3 linked regions of the Saccharomyces cerevisiae S288C genome follow. The gene in region 3 interacts genetically with the main gene of each other region. Each region holds a gene or a part of one and is shown on either strand. Other genes may lie near its edges.

Evidence for each region.
Region 1: mutations in LCB1 (region 3) and LCB3 together harm fitness more than expected from each alone (negative genetic interaction), as found in Saccharomyces cerevisiae (5 studies listed by BioGRID, with this or other methods).
Region 2: mutations in LCB1 (region 3) and FAT1 together harm fitness more than expected from each alone (negative genetic interaction), as found in Saccharomyces cerevisiae (4 studies listed by BioGRID).

The regions. Positions count from the first base shown.
Region 1 is NC_001142.9:156,635-160,565, reverse strand, and holds LCB3 (sphinganine kinase LCB3), read right to left. Parts: upstream 2,379-3,931; coding exon 1,149-2,378; downstream 1-1,148. Other genes in the region: DPI8 (Dpi8p), read left to right, coding at 719-943; 40S ribosomal protein eS21 RPS21B, read left to right, coding at 3,293-3,316, 3,777-3,931.
Region 2 is NC_001134.8:316,648-321,423, reverse strand, and holds FAT1 (long-chain fatty acid transporter FAT1), read right to left. Parts: upstream 3,159-4,776; coding exon 1,149-3,158; downstream 1-1,148. Other genes in the region: CST26 (putative acyltransferase), read left to right, coding at 1-1,008; FIG1 (Fig1p), read right to left, coding at 3,560-4,456. UniProt on the Saccharomyces cerevisiae protein: Acyl-CoA synthetase required for both the import of long chain fatty acids (LCFAs) (C14-C18) and the activation very long chain fatty acids (VLCFAs) (C20-C26) by esterification of the fatty acids into metabolically active CoA-thioesters for subsequent degradation or incorporation into phospholipids.
Region 3 is NC_001145.3:858,715-862,504, reverse strand, and holds LCB1 (serine C-palmitoyltransferase LCB1), read left to right. Parts: upstream 1-1,613; coding exon 1,614-3,290; downstream 3,291-3,790. Other genes in the region: carboxypeptidase C PRC1, read right to left, coding at 1-583; GSR1 (Gsr1p), read left to right, coding at 3,615-3,790. UniProt on the Saccharomyces cerevisiae protein: Component of serine palmitoyltransferase (SPT), which catalyzes the committed step in the synthesis of sphingolipids, the condensation of serine with palmitoyl CoA to form the long chain base 3-ketosphinganine.

The sequences.
Region 1 (3,931 bases), on a different chromosome or scaffold from region 3:
TTAACGAATATGGGAATCGTGATTAATTAAGTGAAGTTACGATCCCAAGATAAAATAAGGAAGTTGTTGAAAGAGGAAAGAATCGATGAAGAAATGAACGACAAAATTACTTTTGTCAATTGTAGGGTACGAAACACCAAGAAATGCAATAAGTGCTATGTAAAGGTGATCCAGTCTTGGTTAGCACACACGCCCAGTTTCTCGAGAGACATAATGACAGTAAACGGTGAGTATAAAAAAAAAGCAAAAAAAAAAGAAAAAAGGAGCAATCGTTCGTTACAAACGATCTAGACTTGATGAAAAAAAACCCTAAAATGTCTCAGACCTAAAACAAAACCCTAAGAAGCACGTGATACAAACCTGTCACGTGCAACATTATGGGGTATGGGTGTGTCACACATTTGAAAAAAAGTGGGCGGAACGTGTGTGGGGGGGTGTCATGCCATTTCCACATTTGGTTGCTCTGGAGATAAGATCCACGAATGAAGGTGAGGGGCATGACTTCAGGGATCAATTTCCCGCCCGCAAGTTAGTTTTTCCGGTGGGAGCCGAGCATCAAGCATGACCACTTCCTGGTGCAGAGAGAAAGTTTCACACATATAAAAGAATAAACCGAAAGTAATGTAGGGAGATGTTTAATGTGATTTTTCACCTTTGTTTTAATGATTACGCACAAGTTTAAATATTACATTCATAAGACAGTAAATAAACGTATTAAATGATCGCCCAAAGTACCAGATTAGCCGCCGCCGTCTCTTCTTCAGCCGCCTCCGCGGGTGTCTCAAGGATAGCCGCTAGCGCCATGGCCAGCACTATTTTCAAGAGATCTCCGGGCAACTCGTTCAACTCTTTTAAGGAATATAGAGAAAATGCCAAGACATATGGTCCCTTGAGTGCCTCACTAGCTACCAGAAGACACTTGGCTCACGCGCCAAAGTTGTAGGCGTATCTTAATTATGCTCTTTTCTTTCCTGGTTTATTAATGATGATGACTTTAACCTATTCTTCTTTTGGGGTCCTGGTACGGTGCCTCAAATTTTTATACAACATGACTTTTTCAGTTACATATTTTTTTATAAGTACTTAATTTAGAAACGGATACATTTACACTACATTTTGTCTATTTTTTTTTTTTTGTTCCTTTTGTTTTATGCTATATTTAAGAGGGAAAATAGGACGGGGCTGCACATTACAACGGTGAATGGAACGCCAGCATAGATAATAAATCTACCTAGAATGTCAATCTTGGGCTCTCCAATATATAATGGACATTCGTACTTGCTTGCACCTTCTTTGTGCGTGGCCTCCAGTCTTTTTCTTGCCGCAACGTTTCTGTCATCCTTCAGATGGAAAACTTTGATCAATAACGTGTAGATCATCGGTTTGCTGATCACGTACTTCCAGATAACAACGCACGGTAGGCCCACCAGCAGCCTGGCTAAGGTTAACCGCCAGCCACAGTTAGGTTCCAAATTGTACACCAGGGTGACTCCAAACACTTTGCCCAACCAATCACAGCATTCAATACCTGACACAACGCCCATGAACGCAACACTATCTTGGAAGCAAGGACATTCGTCTACGGGCTTAACATGTTTAAACAAAAGAAGAAGACCCCATCCCACACTAAACAAAGGAAACCACCAATGCTCCTCAATGCGTAAACCCGGAAACCTGTACTTGAAATACATCCTAACAATGAAACACACTATTCCAATGAGCCCACCGCTTACTAAATCTAATATGCCATGCATCCCACAGTATATTCTACCGAAAACCAAAGTCATATAATAAAATAAAACCACACATGACAACAATAGTTGGACCATGACAGAAGATTCTTGCATCCTCCAGATGTTGTAGAGAAACAAGAGACTCACTCCTGTTGCATTTGCTGTATGGGAGCTTGGAGCACCATATTCCTTCGTTGTATATTCACTTAACGTAATTCGATGTAATGGAGGTGCTCTAGGCCTGGGCAAGCACCAGTAATCTTTAAAAAAACCACTCAAGTAGATAGAATATCCCAAGATATAAACCATATCTTTTGTTGTTTCAAAATATCCAAACCACACGGGCATAGGTAAACACAGAACATAGAAGGTATGCGATCCCATTAAGGAAGTATAAGTAAAGTAGAGATCATTAAACGCAGAACGGTACTTCTTTTGCCAGCGGCTTAATGTGAATGATTGATTGTTGGTAAACACTAACAGCTTCTCTCTAATATTAAACCGAAATTTGGACATTCGAGTTCGAAAATGATCTGAGGGATGATTACCGGGATCCAGCAAGTAATTAGGCTCTTGAAAGTCATTGGGGTTAGAGAGAGTCCTGGCTCTTTTCCTAATGTTCGAGGTATTCAGTCCATCTACCATTTTTTATCTATACAAATGGCTTGTGTCCGCTGGTCTGGTAGGTTTGAAGAATTTCCTCTACGTGATGGTTGTATGTAAACAAACTTTCTTAAACTCTGCTTTTTCTTACTGCCCTTATAATGTGACGACAACTTTAGCGCAAGGTGAGGGAAAAACAAAACAGCCAAGCGTAGTTCAGTCACATGATAAAGGCAGTAGTTCAATTTGGTACTAAGAAACATTTTTTGCAACATTTTTGCCTTGTTATTCGTGAAATGAATATCTGGCGATATTTTGCACATATTTGGTTCCAACAATAGCTGGTTGAACATACATCTACTTAAGTTCTCTCTTCTTTTTTTTTCTCTTTCACTTTTCTACATATGTACTGTTGCCATAGTAACGTAAATTATGTAAAATACTTATCCGCATCAGGGACTGAGAGTCCAAAACGTAGGCTTGAAAAACCAAAAATAATGCAACAAGTAGCATAATAAAATGGGACAAAGAAAGCACTATCGAGGTTGTATCCGTGTTTCTATATAGGAGTGAAAACTTCTGGGGAGATTACCTTTTGACGACAATGTGTTTACACCCGTACACTTTATACATCCATACATCTCCATAACTTTTAAGGAATGAAATAAATGCTTTATGTTTCGCCGCGTCTCTCGCCGGGAGCTGGTGGGCACGCTTCGAGCGAGTTCGCTAGTGAGACCACTGCCTTTATTCTGGTTCTCTTCATCGGTGGTGGGAACCATACCAGCTGGCTAGTGGGTCCGTTTGAAGCGAATCTCGGCTCTGTATAATGTAAGAACTAGTAATTGAGGATTATAGGATTGAAAGTTTTATAAACATTGTTAACGAATTTGACTTTAAAGGGGAATTTCAGTTAAAAATCTGATAAAAAAATAAAAGAATATCAATAAGCCAAAATGGAAAACGATAAGGGTCAATTAGTACGTAAATTATAGCAGATGATGGCGCGCAAAGGAAGAAAGAAGAGGACTGAGTAAGCGTGGACAGACAAGGGAGCATCGACAGAAAAATAAAATTATAATAAGTTAAGTGTGCAAGATTAGTGGTACAAATAGGGTGGGACCAACATGGGTTTATAATCATATTGGTTAGTAATACATCAAATTCAAGAAAATGCAAATAACCCATTTAAATTGGCACAAGTGTTACCTGATACTTTATCATGTGTGGTCTAAGTACACATCTCTAAGAAATGTGGCGTTTTAACGACAAAATTGGAATCCCAAGAGAGATATGCTGAAAAGACATCATAATTCCGAATTAGTGGGTTTCCATATTCCAGAACTACTCTTAGAACTTTTCTTTCATTCATGTGCAGAATAATTTTACAAGAATATAAGCGCAAATGTACTAACATTGAATAATTTCTTTTTTTACTAGGTTGAATTATATGTTCCAAGAAAGTGTTCTGCTACCAACAGAATCATCAAAGCCGATGACCACGCTTCTGTTCAAATCAACGTTGCCAAGGTTGATGAAGAAGGCCGCGCCATTCCAGGTGAATACATCACTTACGCTTTGTCCGGTTACGTTAG
Region 2 (4,776 bases), on a different chromosome or scaffold from region 3:
GTATCATCCATTTTGCATGTTGTCGCACCATCTGCAGTGAGAATTACCACTGAAAATTCCAGTGTTCCTAAAGGTACTTTTTTTTTAGACTTGAAGAAGAAAAGGATTCTTTCTCATCTAAAGTCCAATTCGGTGGCCATTTGCAATCACCAAATATACACGGATTGGATATTTTTATGGTGGTTGGCTTACACATCGAACTTAGGGGCTAATGTCTTCATTATTTTAAAAAAATCGTTGGCTTCCATTCCTATCCTCGGTTTCGGTATGAGAAACTATAATTTCATTTTTATGAGTAGAAAGTGGGCACAAGACAAAATAACCCTAAGCAACAGCCTTGCTGGCCTTGATTCGAATGCAAGGGGCGCCGGCTCACTTGCTGGAAAGTCACCTGAGCGCATAACTGAGGAAGGAGAGAGCATATGGAATCCGGAGGTTATTGATCCAAAACAAATCCATTGGCCATACAATCTTATCCTATTCCCTGAAGGTACAAATCTCAGTGCTGATACTAGGCAAAAAAGTGCTAAATATGCTGCCAAAATAGGCAAAAAGCCATTCAAGAATGTGCTACTGCCTCATTCTACAGGCCTAAGATACTCGTTACAAAAGTTGAAGCCAAGTATTGAAAGTCTTTATGATATTACGATCGGCTACTCCGGTGTAAAACAGGAGGAATATGGTGAGCTTATATATGGGCTGAAGAGCATATTTTTAGAAGGAAAATACCCGAAGTTAGTCGATATTCACATCAGAGCATTTGATGTTAAAGATATTCCATTAGAGGACGAGAATGAATTTTCAGAATGGCTGTATAAAATTTGGAGTGAGAAGGATGCTCTAATGGAAAGGTACTATTCCACTGGATCATTCGTAAGTGATCCTGAAACAAACCATTCAGTTACCGATAGTTTCAAGATCAATCGTATTGAGTTAACTGAAGTGCTAATATTACCAACTCTAACAATAATTTGGTTAGTTTATAAACTTTATTGTTTTATTTTTTGAATTTAAATAATCCTTTCCATATGTTATTAGGTACATATATAGATAGATATAAAACTTTTTTTGATTCTTTATCAATATTACGTTTACATACGTACTCTCGTGCAAGGAAAAATACTTTATCCTAATTCAGGAACATCAAATCATAATTTAATTGTTTGTGCATCGATGGCTTCCCAATCAGCAGCGGTCAAGACTTCATAGCGCTTGTAATTCTTGAGCCAAAAAATAGTGTCATTTCCATCCAAACCCTTTGGTAATTTTTGCTCTCTATAAACCTTCTTCAAAATTTTATGATTATCTGTCATTTTAATTTCATCAACAAATTTAACAAATAGGGGCATAGCATAAGACGGTAGATTTAACCGGCTCAAGGAATCATTTAATAATTTGGTCTTTGCAGTGATGTCAAGAGAGTTGTCAGTTAGTTTAATAACTGCAAAACCAGCTCTACCTTCATATTTAGGTACTTTAATACCAACAACTAGAACTTGTGCATATTGTTCTTTGTTACTGGCCGTCAACTGATCTTCTACTTCAGTAGTGGAAACATTTTCAGATTTCCATCTGAAAGTATCACCCATTCTATCAAGGAAATACCATAATCCATATTCGTCCGCTTTTAATAAATCTCCACATCTATACCAAGCATCGCCACGTCTGAAGACATCCCTCACAACTTTGGACTTTGTTTCCTTGGCATTACCAAGATAACCTTGAAAAGATGTTTCTGGTTTTTTAGGGAAAAAGATTCTCATTAACATTTCTCCTGGTTCGCCAACAGGGGCCACTTCGCAGAAACCCTTGGAATTTCTATATATAACGGAATCGTCATTTGGGTCCATCCTTACCAATGTTTGTTGGAATGACAAAAACCATTGAATTATAGTACCATAGTTCCTACATGCGCCAATTCCAAAGTCACCTTTCTGGAAGGTAGTTGTAGCAAAAGGAGCTTCAGTTGCGGCATAGAATTCACCAATAACTTCTATGTTGAACCTCTTCCTGAAGTCCTGCCAGATGTCAGGTCTCAGCCCGTTACCATAAGCAACCTTCACCTTATGCATCTTTTCATACTTAGAAATTGGCGTATGTAACAGGTATCTACAGACTTCTCCGACATATTGGATGTGCGTGGCTCCTGTTAAATAAACTTGCTTCCAAAATGTACTGGCAGAAAATTTATGCGATAACGCAAGGCAACCACCGTGAGATAGAATGGCGCACGCACCTAATAAGGCAGCAGTTGAATGGAACAATGGCATGGCTGTGAACACAGTGCTTTCATTAGTCATATGTAAAACATGACCAAAAACTTGACAACCTACGGAGGATTTTCTCCAAGACATAATAGCGGATTTAGGCAAACCAGTGGTTCCAGATGTATAAATTAACATAGAGGGTTTAAAATCGGTCAAGCCTAGTGGTGTCCTAACGTTGTCTTGTTGTAAGAATTCCGGTGATTGCGAATTTAAAAGTTCATGCATTAAGTCTTGTTCTTCAAGATAGTTTAATTTAACATCAGGAAGTGCGTTTTTGATTTCTTCTTCCGATTCTCTGATCGGATTACTGGCATCAGGGTCAATAAATACCTGCGTAATATTGGAAATCTTTAGGGAGTGAACCAGCGGAGTGCCTTTAGTATTATAGTTTAAAAAAGCTGGAATAGCCCCAATGTTCCACAAAGAAAGCCATAAAAATACGAAAAGAGGTTTATTAGTACAATCGATTGCCACGTAGTCACCGGCCTGAACGTTATAATCAAAATGCAAAATATGAGACAATCTCAACACTATGTTATAAGTTTCAATATACGTAAAGGTTTCGAGTTGAAATTCTCCCTTTTCGGCCATGGGACGGGTGTAACTAATCGCTAAATGGTCACCATTTTGTTGGACCTGTTTAATAAATAAGTACCAGTTTTGAAACCTATGTCTTCTCACATCAATGATATAACAAAACACGCTTTTCAAAAAGTAAGGAATAATATACCAATCCTCCTTGTATCTATATTTACGGTCTAATTCATCAAAATAATTACCAAATAGATAACCCAGTGATTTCTGGATAGGGGTTATAATTAGCTTGATAAGTCTGAATAATAGCAGGAAAATCCTTGACAAGGCAAAGACAACAACCTGTATGGGAGACATAGTCGGTATTCGCAGCCTATTAAAAGTTCAACGATATAGAATTTGAATGATTTGGGCTTTTCAATTTAGTTTACGACTTTAAGGTCCTTATTTTTTTTGCTATAACATTAGTATTTATAAAAAATTTCTGGAGCTTTGTTACATTGCGCGAAAAACCCGCGTTCTATCTTTTTAGTCGCTCATCAAGGTGACAGTAAATAAAACAGACGGTAATGATTAGAGTTTAGGTAAGCTCATATTTTCTCTGTTGTTACTTAATTATCGAACGTTAAATTTTTTAAGTAGTTCATCACATTATATAATGTTAATCGTGAATTATATAAATTTTTTCTCCTTTTACTTTTAAAAATTGACATTCTGAAATATCCGCTCAAAACTTATATGTTTATTTGAGGATAAAACTAAACTTTGGAATGCAATGTAGATGAATCCGAAGAGTAGTTATTGTACCTATTTTGGGCACATGGAACATTATCAATTTCATCTTTCAAGCTTTTCCTATCCCTTAAAAATATTAACCATAAAACCACACTGTCTAAAAGGAGGAATGCAAAGCTAAACCAAGCCATTACTGCTGCCTTCTTGCCCTTCTTGACAGTGATTATATTCATACTTGATGATGGAACCAATCTGTAACTTGCATTTATCCCTACATGAGTCCACATCGCACCAATACCCCATGTCAAAACTATAGTTGAACTTAGCAACAGTAGAAATTTATTAACCGCTAGTTTGAATGGTAACTTAGGGACAGTTACATACAGAATAAATAGAAACATTAGGATTGTTAGGATTACAGTTGCCATCAAGACATATGGATGTATAACATTAACCGAAGTTAATTGGGCTAACTTCAAAATGTTCAAGACAACGCTTGATTGGGTTTTGGAGCTGGAAGATGCAATATTTGAGAGTTGAATTTCCAAGTCTCTGTATAAGGGAACCGAGCTTAAATTCTTTCTTGCATAGCAAATTGAATTGGAGAATGTAGTCATATTATTGTAAGAGCTATATTGGGAGGGAATGTTATCAATACAAACACCCATGTAACCGGATCTTATAATGACTTCCTCCAAGCCCAGAGTTGTATTTGATTTTTCATATGATTTCTCTATGATCGTATAAAAAGGTGAGTTGTCATCAAATTTATACTTCACTAGAAATGTTGACTGATTTGACGGGTTGTAACAGCCGATGAGAAGAAAAATCAAAAGAAATATTGAAATTAAATTAAAAGCTAATGCAAATATTCTGGGCATACGCTTGGTAAAAAACCAAATCATTGAGATTGCGACCATTTTTTTTTTTTTTTTTTTGTTTGTTTGTTTGTTTGTTTACTATAATTTCTTCTACCAAAGACAAGCAAGAACCTGAGATAAAAAACATTTAACAGACATTTTACAAATATATACCAATGTCTTTGTTATTTCAACAGCACTATATATTGTTTTCATTTTCTTGGTTCGTTTCATTGCTACTTAGCCATATTTTTTTTAACTGACACATACATGAAACCATCATAATCTTAATGGGAAAAAATCCTAAAGCGAGAAGGACTTTCAAAAAAAAAAAGTTTTAAAAATGTTATAATTTTTGTATTTTACCTGAATATATAGTA
Region 3 (3,790 bases):
AAGAGTAAGGGTTCCCGATGGGTTTCAAATCAGGTCCAATGGATGAGGGTCCTAATTCAAAGAACAGCCCGGTTAGTGAAGAACAACCTGGACCCCCGTTCAACCAAAGGATGACCGGATCCTTTGCAGGATCGTTTCTACTTTCAAAAGTCCAAAAGAAGAAATGCTTGTCCTCGTCTTCCACATCCAAGTAACCCGTGTACTGTGTGACATTTGGGTCAATGCCCAGGATTTTAGGGTCCTTAATCTTGTTGACACGAAGCTGATAGTTTTCAATTGCGTCATTCTTGACCACAAAGTCCCAGTCTTTCTTCGTTTTGATTGCTTCAGGGAATTTTGGCTTAGTGGAAGTTTCAAGGCTCATAACCTGGTTTGGGTACAAATGCTCTATTTGGGCCCAAGCGTCCAATACATTGGAGTCCAACTCCTTCAAGAGATGATCCAGGTCGAGGTCCAAACCAAATTTTTCCGCAGCTTGCAGCAAAACGTCCTTATCTAGACCCAACGGTCTTTGCAATGAGATGGCCTTAGCGAGTGTAGTGGACAGGCCTAGTCCACATAGTAAACTGGTGAATGCTTTCATAGCGTATGTATACTTTAAGTTGAGTAGAAAAGAAACAATCTCTAGTGAGTATTCTTTCTCTCTCTCTCTCTTGTCTTGTTAAGACTAGGAGGGAAGACGAAAAGAATTATTTCGGAGCTTTTTTGCTGGCATTCTTATCTCGTGCTTTTATTAGTGGGCCCCTTCTTTGAGACCCCGCGGGTGATATGGCCCCTGTCTCAATGATGGATAAAGTTGTTGGAAGCAATTACCAAGACAATCACAAACGAAGGTTGCTACCGAAGTGTACTGGATGACCAACATCGCTATGATTAAATAAGACTATACATAATAGACAAGGGTGGCGCGGCTCCATTCCCAGGGAGACACAAACACGAGGTAAGTCTCAAAAAACCGAAGTTTCGCTCTAAAACTGCACGTAAAGGTCGTGGTATTGACTACAACCATTGACTGTTACATTGTGTAGAAGAAAGGTCCTCACATACTGCTCTGTCAATATGGCTTCTTGTGCAGAAGGTCAATATGTACTATTTCCATGAACCCACAAAATAAGGGAAAAAAAACACTGGAAATAACCGCCACACATACCGTATAAAAGTACATCTCTTTATACGAGTTACTTACTAGACCCTAACCAATGCCTTCAAAAAACAGGACAGACCCTAAAAACTACCATAAGAGACCTAACATATGTATCATCATATACGGAAATCGATTTCGCGTATTTTTTTTTTTTTGAGGCGCCATGATTTCTTACACGGTTTCTTTTTTTTTTCCTTCTTTCCTTCTTGCTTCTCTGCTAACAAATTTTTCACTCATTCTTTTTTATAGGGGCATATTGCTGCGGTTAACTGTAGTGAACGAAAGTAAGATTGAGAAAATATAGTACTTAAGAAAAAGAAAAGGAAAAATAAAAAAAATTCTTTTCAACATCATCGAGTAGCACAGTATAAGAGCGCTCTAACCTTCTGCCTGGCCTCCAATATACACATTTTGCTCGTGTAGGGTTATTTATCCTTTTTTCTTCCTTCCCACCCAAAAAAAAAAAGCAATGGCACACATCCCAGAGGTTTTACCCAAATCAATACCGATTCCGGCATTTATTGTTACCACCTCATCGTACCTATGGTACTACTTCAATCTGGTGTTGACTCAAATCCCGGGAGGCCAATTCATCGTTTCGTACATCAAGAAATCGCATCATGACGATCCATACAGGACCACGGTTGAGATAGGGCTTATTTTATACGGGATCATCTATTACTTGTCCAAGCCACAACAGAAAAAGAGTCTTCAAGCACAGAAGCCCAACCTATCGCCCCAGGAGATTGACGCGCTAATTGAGGACTGGGAGCCCGAGCCTCTAGTCGACCCTTCTGCCACCGATGAGCAATCGTGGAGGGTGGCCAAAACACCCGTCACCATGGAAATGCCCATTCAGAACCATATTACTATCACCAGAAACAACCTGCAGGAGAAGTATACCAATGTTTTCAATTTGGCCTCGAACAACTTTTTGCAATTGTCCGCTACGGAGCCCGTGAAAGAAGTGGTCAAGACCACTATCAAGAATTACGGTGTGGGCGCCTGTGGTCCCGCCGGGTTCTACGGTAACCAGGACGTTCATTACACGTTGGAATATGATTTAGCACAGTTCTTTGGCACCCAAGGTTCCGTTCTGTACGGGCAAGACTTTTGTGCCGCACCCTCTGTTCTGCCTGCTTTCACAAAGCGTGGTGATGTTATCGTGGCAGACGACCAGGTGTCATTACCAGTGCAAAATGCTCTGCAACTAAGCAGATCCACAGTCTACTACTTCAACCACAACGATATGAATTCGCTAGAATGTTTATTAAACGAGTTGACCGAACAGGAGAAACTTGAGAAACTGCCCGCCATTCCAAGAAAATTTATCGTCACTGAGGGTATTTTCCACAACTCGGGCGATTTAGCTCCGTTGCCTGAGTTGACTAAGCTGAAGAACAAGTACAAGTTCAGACTATTTGTTGACGAAACCTTCTCCATTGGTGTTCTTGGCGCTACGGGCCGTGGGTTGTCAGAGCACTTCAACATGGATCGCGCAACTGCCATTGACATTACCGTTGGGTCCATGGCCACCGCGTTGGGGTCCACCGGTGGTTTTGTCCTGGGTGACAGTGTTATGTGTTTGCACCAGCGTATTGGTTCCAATGCATATTGTTTTTCTGCCTGTTTGCCGGCTTACACCGTCACATCCGTCTCCAAAGTCTTGAAATTGATGGACTCCAACAACGACGCCGTCCAGACGCTGCAAAAACTATCCAAATCTTTGCATGATTCCTTTGCATCTGACGACTCCTTGCGTTCATACGTAATCGTCACGTCCTCTCCAGTGTCTGCTGTCCTACATCTGCAACTGACTCCCGCATATAGGTCTCGCAAGTTCGGATACACCTGCGAACAGCTATTCGAAACCATGTCAGCTTTGCAAAAGAAGTCCCAGACAAACAAATTCATTGAGCCATACGAAGAGGAGGAAAAATTTCTGCAGTCCATAGTAGATCATGCTCTTATTAACTACAACGTTCTCATCACAAGAAACACTATTGTTTTAAAACAGGAGACGCTACCAATTGTCCCTAGCTTGAAAATCTGCTGTAACGCCGCCATGTCCCCAGAGGAACTCAAAAATGCTTGCGAAAGTGTCAAGCAGTCCATCCTTGCCTGTTGCCAAGAATCTAATAAATAAAAATAGAAAGCCAGTATATGCACACGCACATATATATATAAATATTTATACAATAATACAAATAATCGTAACATCATCTCTGTCAAATTGACGTGGTGCACGGCGCCCAGAGAATGCGCTAAAAATTTTCGGATCCGAAATTTTCTTTCCTTTTACCATCGAGGCAAAGCAACCTGTATTATTTATTTGTTTATTTATTAATAGAAAAGAAAGGAGTACTTTCGTGGTACGCTTTCTTGAGCATTTTCGGTTTCACTAGGCAGAGAACTAACACAAGAGACACAGCAAACATCAAACAAGGTTAAAACAGCACACCAAGGCAATATGATGCATTTTAGAAAGAAATCCAGTATCAGTAACACGAGTGATCATGACGGAGCGAACCGTGCCTCAGATGTCAAGATTTCTGAAGATGACAAGGCAAGATTGAAGATGCGTACTGCTTCCGTTGCTGATCCTATTCTAGACGCTGTGCAGGAAGCCCAACCTTTTGAACAAGC